2 linked regions of the Caenorhabditis elegans genome follow. The protein of the gene in region 1 purifies or fractionates together with the protein of each later gene. This does not show direct contact. Each region holds a gene or a part of one and is shown in the gene's direction. Other genes may lie near its edges.

The links. Proteins that work in one complex are often made in the same cells at the same time.
Region 2: the proteins of srbc-68 (region 1) and famh-136 fractionate together in Caenorhabditis elegans (co-fractionation; one large-scale study listed by BioGRID). This does not show direct contact.

What each region holds. Positions count from the first base shown.
Region 1 is NC_003283.11:3,545,170-3,548,207, reverse strand, and holds srbc-68 (G-protein coupled receptors family 1 profile domain-containing protein), read left to right. Parts: upstream 1-1,590; coding exon 1,591-1,765; intron 1,766-1,806; coding exon 1,807-2,264; intron 2,265-2,309; coding exon 2,310-2,531; downstream 2,532-3,038. Other genes in the region: srw-130 (G-protein coupled receptors family 1 profile domain-containing protein), read left to right, coding at 1-49, 697-911, 957-1,098, 1,159-1,239.
Region 2 is NC_003281.10:8,886,042-8,890,644, forward strand, and holds famh-136 (FAM161 homolog famh-136), read left to right. Parts: upstream 1-1,709; 5' UTR 1,710-1,716; coding exon 1,717-1,841; intron 1,842-1,955; coding exon 1,956-2,157; exon of another isoform or gene 2,158-2,374; coding exon of another isoform or gene 2,375-2,652; intron 2,653-2,748; coding exon of another isoform or gene 2,749-2,898; intron 2,899-2,944; coding exon of another isoform or gene 2,945-3,002; exon of another isoform or gene 3,003-3,115; intron 3,116-3,806; coding exon 3,807-3,911; 3' UTR 3,912-4,102; downstream 4,103-4,603. Other genes in the region: putative RING finger protein ZK637.14, read right to left, coding at 2,375-2,652, 2,749-2,898, 2,945-3,002; lnkn-1 (Protein linkin), read left to right, coding at 4,195-4,389, 4,447-4,566. UniProt on the Caenorhabditis elegans protein: May play a role in locomotion and behavior.

The sequences.
Region 1 (3,038 bases):
CGGGTTTCTGATAAAACTATATTCCACATCAAATGCAATGATTTCTCATGTAAGTTTTTTTAAAACTGTAATGGTACCGTGGGTATACTGTATGATTACTGTAGTTTCAGAAATATGAGCTTTCGTTTTTGTAAGAGATATTTGGGGATAGTGTCGGGGTACTGTAGTAGTACTTTAGGGGTACTGTAGGAGTACTATAAGATTACTGTAGTAATTGAGGTTTTGTCTTTTGAAGAGACAGTGCCGAGTTACTGTAATAGTGATGTAGGAGTACTGTAGGAATACTGTAATTCTAGAAATTTGAGTTATTGTTTTTTCAAAAGAATAGTGAGGGATAGTGGCGGGGTACTGTAATGGTACTGTGGAAGTAATGTCGTAATAGGACTACTGTAGCTCTATTTATTTGATTTTTTGTTTTATGAAAAGATAGTGTCGGGTACTGTAGGAGTCCGAAGTGGTACAGTAGGGGTACTGTAGGGACACTCTAGGAGTACTGTAGAATTATTTTAGTTCTAGAAAAATTTAGTTTCTGTTTTTACAAGAGATACTTGGAGATAGTATCGGGGTACTGTAGAAGCTGTAGGATTACTTTAATACTGGAAATTTGAGTTTTTTCATTTGAAGTGATAGTGGGGATAGTGTCAAAGTAGTGAGGGGTTACTGTAAGGGTTACTGTAGATCGCAACAAATTTTCAGATCATTCCTTCGATTCTCTTTCCTATAGTCACATTTTTTCTTGTAAACGTCCTACGAAAAGCTAAAAAATCTCGGAAACTGGTATCCAAGACCGATAGTAATACGAAGTCTACAAAAATCATAATCTATACAGCGATTATTTTTCTAATTGTTGAGCTTCCACTTGGAATCAATCTGGCGATCATTTGGTTTTTCAATAATTCCGTTGGAATCAAGTAAGTTTGACGGCAAAAAATTGGCTGAAACAGCTAGCTTTTCAGGCTGATTCTTGATCAATTTGAAGCTCTTTTTTATATGCTACTTACCGCAAACACAATTTCCCATTTCTTTGTTTGTTTCGTCTTGTCTTCACAATACAGGGCAACACTGATAGATGTAGTGTCGTGCGGGATAAGTTTCCAGGTAGGAATAATTTTGAGCGAATTTGAAAAAGGAGCCGGTATGAACTCAATAAATTTTCAGAAGAACAGAATTGGAAATCTTTGCAAAAGTCGAAAAAGTTCACAACAAAATGTTATAACAGTAAATGCAATATCAATATGATCCATCATCTTTATAAGTCACCAAAGTATTATTTTCCATAAAATGAAGCAGCGTCCGACAAATGGCGGGTTCTGGCTCCCAAGTAATAATAATTTTTCGTCCAGTAATCAAACAATTCCTTCTAACATTGAACTTTTTTATTATTTTAGTTAGAGTAAGAATAAAACCCTATACAACTACTTGTGGTTGTGAAATAACTGCACAACGGAAATTATCTCATATTCTAGTGAGGCTTGTCACAAATGCTATCGATACTATTGTAGAACTTGCTGATAGCTGAGAAACGTCTGAAACCCTACGAAAAGTAACTTCTGTTCACAAAAACATTTTACTATTAAAGAGCCCAGAATAATGTCAACTATTGTTTTTATATATTCCTTTATTACTGTCATAGTCTGTTACTCAAATATTTGCCTAAATTTGATCCTTTTATTAGCAATTTTCTGCTCTAAAAGAGTCACTTTCAAATCTGAATTGTCTCTTTTCTATACAAGATTTGCTGCAGATATTGGATACAGTATTTCTAGTAAGTTTTTGAAAATCTAATTCAATTCAATTTTGATTCAGTTAGTAATTTCAAATTGTACATTTTGGCGGTTATGATTTCGGAAATATTTGCCGTTAAAAATTTCATTTTCATCACACTATGGCTTACTATTATATTTGGAATCATTCGAACAAGTCTATTATTTTTAACTACTTTGGATCGAGTCATTTCTCTATTCTTCCCTTTCTTCTATTGCGCAAACCGTAGCAAACTTCCACTATTTGCCATTTTTATTCTAATTTTTTCCTTGATAATTTTCGATCAAATTATCATGTTCGGATATTGTGGGAATACTATTGATACTCCCATGAACTGCGACCATTTCCGTTGTTCTTTCAATGAGTGCTACAGTATTTATTGGGTAGAGCACGAAAAAATTGTATTCAGTATGATCGTCGTTTTGACAGTATTGCAATTAGGGAAACTTGTTGTTTACACTGTTCTTGCACAGAACCAATCGGCTCAAGTTTATTCAAGAGTAAGGTGCTGTACCTTTAAAATATAAGCAATTCATAAATTTAAGGCTACCCAAATAGCTATGCTTGACTCAACAACTCTTATTTTATTCAATCTTGTTCCGGTCATGTCTACTTTTTGGTTTGAATCAGCTGATTATGAAACGTATTCGTCGTTTGCAACTCTCTCTAGAAATCTTGGATTTTTAATCAACACATTGATCATTTTTCGAATATTCATGAGAGATAAAAATAATACAGTGACAGCATTAACATCACCCAATTCTTAAGAACTTAATTTTTTTAAAATAAATGAATAAAATTGCTTCAAACTATTGCTTTTGGTTTTTTAGTAAATGTGTAAAGAATTGTACGTTGAAGGTCGCATAAAAAACTACCTTCAAATTATTAATTAATCCTATTTTTATCGACTGACGTTCTTGTTGTTTTTTTTAATTTTTATATTAACACATTAACACAAAAGATAAATTATCCAATTTGATAAAAATGAAATCCCGGCAGCGTCGTTTGAGTAATGTTTTTGCCTAGCCTGTCTGCACTTCATTTTAAAAATGCAATTATTATTGGTTTTATAGTAACAATGAAACGCATTCATATTTAATGCACTTTCTGTTCTTGGCCTGTACAATTAAGCTATTAGACAACTGCGTGAAAGGTATCTGCTGAACGGAAATTAACTAATATATTATTTACACAAAAGTTGAGTATTATTATCTTTTTGTCCCTAACAATAACATTATGTTTCCTATTTTCACAGTCATAACCAGTTACGTAAC
Region 2 (4,603 bases), on another chromosome or scaffold:
GTTTAAACGTTTCCGGTCGGGTCGTGACAAAGTCAAAAACATTGGTAATTGAACAAAACATTCCAATTTCAAAATGTTTTTATGGCTGCAGTTATTCAATAGAATACTCAATAATATATTTCGCTAAAAAATAATTGGAAATGTAATTTTTATTCAAATAATTTTTTTCAACAAACAAAAAAAATTTATAGTTTTTTTTAAATTTAAAATCACATTTTTCAAAAAATTTGTAAAGCTGTTTGCGGGGAACAGGAGGGAGGTGGGGATTACGAAACAAACATGAAATCGATGTGGTTAAGCCGGGAGACAAAATGACCCAATAATTTGTCCAATGACGTGGATGTGTGACACCAAATTCAGAGCTCAAAGCTTCAAACGGAAAAGAATAAAAACCAGGAGAGTTGCTCCAGATTCAGAGAGAGAAAGACGTCTCCATATATGACTCTACGTCTATTCATAATGCGCACTGTCTCTCTATTTGGCTCAGCTGAGCATCATTGGCTTCGAAGCAGTAGAAGAAAGCCGAGAAATGGAAATGGAGGAGGTTAAGAGAGACAGAACGTGTGAGAAAGAGAGAGCGAGAGGGACAAAAATGAAAAGTAGGCGGTTTAAACAAACAAAGAAAAACACAAGGAATATCGGATCGAAAGGATGCTCCGAGGAGCAATATTCGGGAAAAAAAGGAGCTCCGGTTTCAGAATGTCACTTCTGAATTTGGAAGTGTGACAATTCAAAAGAATTAGTATAACTCAGCGGCCCGATTTTTGTACCAAAAATACGGTCTCGACACGACAAACTTTTGTTAATTGCAATTTAGCTGTAAAATGGTGTGCGCCTTTAAAAGAGTACTGTAATTTCCATTCCCAAGTTGTGAGAAAACAGGAGAAAAACGAATATTTATTAAAACAGGAGAAAAAAGATCAGAAGATTTGAGTATTTTGTTTGAAATAACAACAAGTTGACCAAATTATTTGTTTTTTTAGTTTTCAGAAACAGTTTTGTGAATGCATTTCATGAATGGTTTTTGTGTCAAAGCAACGTTATAATAAAATTTAAAAATAAAATATTTTAATCTCTATTTATTATAACGTATTGATTTTTACAAACACTTTACTATTTATAATACAATTACTTTCTTGATTTTGGGATTTTCTTGAAATTTGCAATATTTTCGCAATATTTTCGGAACGACATTTTGAAATCTCGACATTTCACACAATTTTTGCATGTAAACGTTGTATTTGCCACCGTTTTAATTGATTTCTCTCAATTTTAATTTCAGATTCATCAACTACAGTATACTCGCCTTTGACTTTCAAGCTCATCGAGAAGTGCGCCAGCTTCGCATAATCAAGAAGTGCGTCAGCACTCGACTTGCGCAATTCTTGTCAACTGATATGATTTCTTTTTGTTTTTTGGTTATTTTTTGCGCGTTCTTTGTGCTTTTCGTTTTTTTTTTGTTCGTTGGTTTCTTTCTTTAATGAAACGAAATATTTTATTTTAGTTTAGACTTCCAATATATAGAATAATTAAATTGCATATAACATGACGAAAGGAAGTATAATCTGGGATTATAAATTTTGAGCTTTAGCTATCTTCCTTTATCCTTTAATTCTTGCGTCATTCATAAATGACATATCGTTTACTTTCGAAAATTGATTTTCACATGTCCGTTAACAATAAATAATTTAATTTTATAATACTTTTAGGGTAAATATGTCAAACTCAACGATGGAGGCTACTCAAATGAAAGTAAAGCTGGCTGTCGATGAGATGATTGACGATTTGGATAAGACCTATTTGAGGGATATGCAGAAGAGCATGTTTCAGTGCTCAGCTCGGTAATTATTTTCGAAATTACACTAAATATGTTTAGTAAGCAATTTGTATTACGCTAAACCACCTGAAAATGTCTAATTTAACTTCGCAATTGAAAATTTTTTGCATTATTTCAGGTGCTGTGACAACAAGAAAACCACACGCGATGCTGTCGAGAACTGCGTTGAAAGCTGCAACGATGGCATGAAAAAGGCGCAAGGCTATCTTGAAAAAGAGCTCGGAGGGCTTCAAGACCAGCTCTCACGCTGTGCAATGACTTGCTATGATAAGCTTGTTCAACAGTTTGGTCCAGATGTCAATAAGTATTCAGAATCACAGGTGTGAAGATTTATTAAATTTTAGAAATCAAAAAATTTATAAATTAATTTAGGATTTAAAAAATCAACACCCGAGGGGGCTCATAGCTCACAGCTTTTGGTGGAACATTTTTTTGGAATTAAAACAAAAGTATATACAGTGAAAAGCTAGTTTGGGTTGAAAATTAATTTAGTTTTGTCGAAGAAGAATTTAATAGAAATAAGATTTAAATTATAAATCATCCATACATTGAATCGTGAAGCTCTTCAAGATTTCTCTGTCTCTCCTCCTCCTCAACTTCTTTATCAGTTTTGACCTTCTGACGGCATGTTGGGCAAGTTTGTTGAGCTTCAAGCCATAGAGTGAGACAAAAATAATGAAAGCGATGTTTGCATGGCATGACGATAACTGTGGTTCCGAACGTTGTTGGATCAATTTTTAATTCCTCTTTGATGACATGATCTTCAGGAATATCGACGTTGTTTTGCAAGTTATCCAAACAAATTGCACAGGTTGCTGAAAAATAGATTATTTAGGCAAATAGTCAGCATTTTTTCTGAGTGTTTTTTTTTTCAAATACAAGCTTTGCTCAATTTTAATAGTTTCTCATACCATCTTCTTTCTGTTGATCTGTAGTCTCTCGATCCATCAGTCTCAGCGCTTTATATGATTTTTTGTCAATTGGCAAACTTCCAACATTATACAAATCCAGCCATCTTTGCATCGCATCTGTTTGTGAACCAGTACCTTCCGCTCGCATTCCTTAATTTAATATATAATTTGAATGCTTTCTCATAAAATAACTTACTGACGAAGATGGTTTCGAGCATATGCGAAAAAGCTCTAATAGCGTCTCTTTCCGACATATCTAATTGCCAGATAAAATATTTTAAGAAATGACGAGAGATATGGTGACAAAAGGAAAACGTACTTACGCAAGTGCAACGAAAAACGTGCAATTCGTCGTAACGGTGTTTGCGGATTTTTTGCGTGTCTGTCTCGCACTCTCCATTCTTTCATCACGAGTTTTGATGACTATTTATGCAAATTTCGGGGGTTTATGAATCACCAATCAAGTGCCACGCTGTTCATCGATTTTTAGTTTTGTATTACTTTTGCTATTTTAATAGTTAGACCCTCATAAGATTTGTATCGAGGGGTGTTTTTTTTTTAATGTAACATTATGAAATCTAAAATGATTCATTTTCTTTTCTATTCTTTCTGTCGTCTCTAATTAATGATAATTATCAATTTGGTAGAAATTTAGCGATCGCTAAAGACGCACGGTATTATTCAGAAGGGTCTCGGCGCGGAAAAAAGTTTATGGTAGTTTTTAATATTTTTTGCAGCTGCTTTTCCTTACATTTTTCATTGCAATTACCTCGATTTTAGCAAATTTTGCCTTTTTTTAAAACATTTTCATGTTAAAAATTGTTGTAAACCAGTTTTTTATTAAAAATATGTGTTTTTCTGTTTTTTGGCGTGGAAGAAACAGAAAAGTGAAATATATTTTCTTTACGCGCTGAGCCCCATCTTAATAAATTCCGTGCGCCTTTAGCAAGGCATGGCAAAAATATTTATAAGACACATTTCTGTGATCCTAACGCCTCTGATTTCTCACAAAATTAAAAAAAAATTGATCAAAAATTAAGAAAATCCTCGCATTTCAGAAGCTCAGTTTCAACGAGAAGCTCGATTCGTGTGTCTCTGTTTGTGCTGATGATCACATCAAATTAATTCCGGCAATCAAGAAGAGATTCGCGAAAAATACCTGAGAGCCAGCCACACATTTTCCACCGAGTATTGCCATATCCCCTCTTAATTTCCCATTTATCAAAAAAATATCCCATTTAGGCGTATTCTCCACTCATTAGGCTCCCTCATTGTTGCTCACTATTATATCATTATTTTTCTTTCATACTTTTTTAATAAGTTTTCATGCATTCAGTCATAAAATCTCTATCCCAATTGATTTAAACTCTCCTTAAACGTTTTGACCGTATTTCATACTTTTTCCACCGAACTTATTCTCTTCAAACAAAACAACGTTCAGGTACTATGAAAAAAATATTACCGATCATATGGCTCATCAATTTGGTTAGTGGAAGCCTATCACTCGAGAAAAAAGCTCCCGATTTACTTGGAAAAGTATGTGCATTTGGAGATTTCAATGCAGATCGGAATACTGATATTCTGGTTTTTGCGAATGGAACATTGACGATTAATTATCAAGAAACTAAACTTCTTGATGTGGTTAGTTTTTATTTTTTCTTTTGTTGAAATTTCACATAAAAATTTTGAAATTTTCAGCTCGAAGCTTCCAAATTCACACCAGGAACATCGTTTGCCATCAGTAAACCCAGCCTGAATGCAGATTTTGTTGAATGTTCAGTTGGCGATTTCAATGGAGACTCTAGGCTTGATGTTTTGGTGAGTTTATTGAAAACATTGTCATTTTGCTTCATTG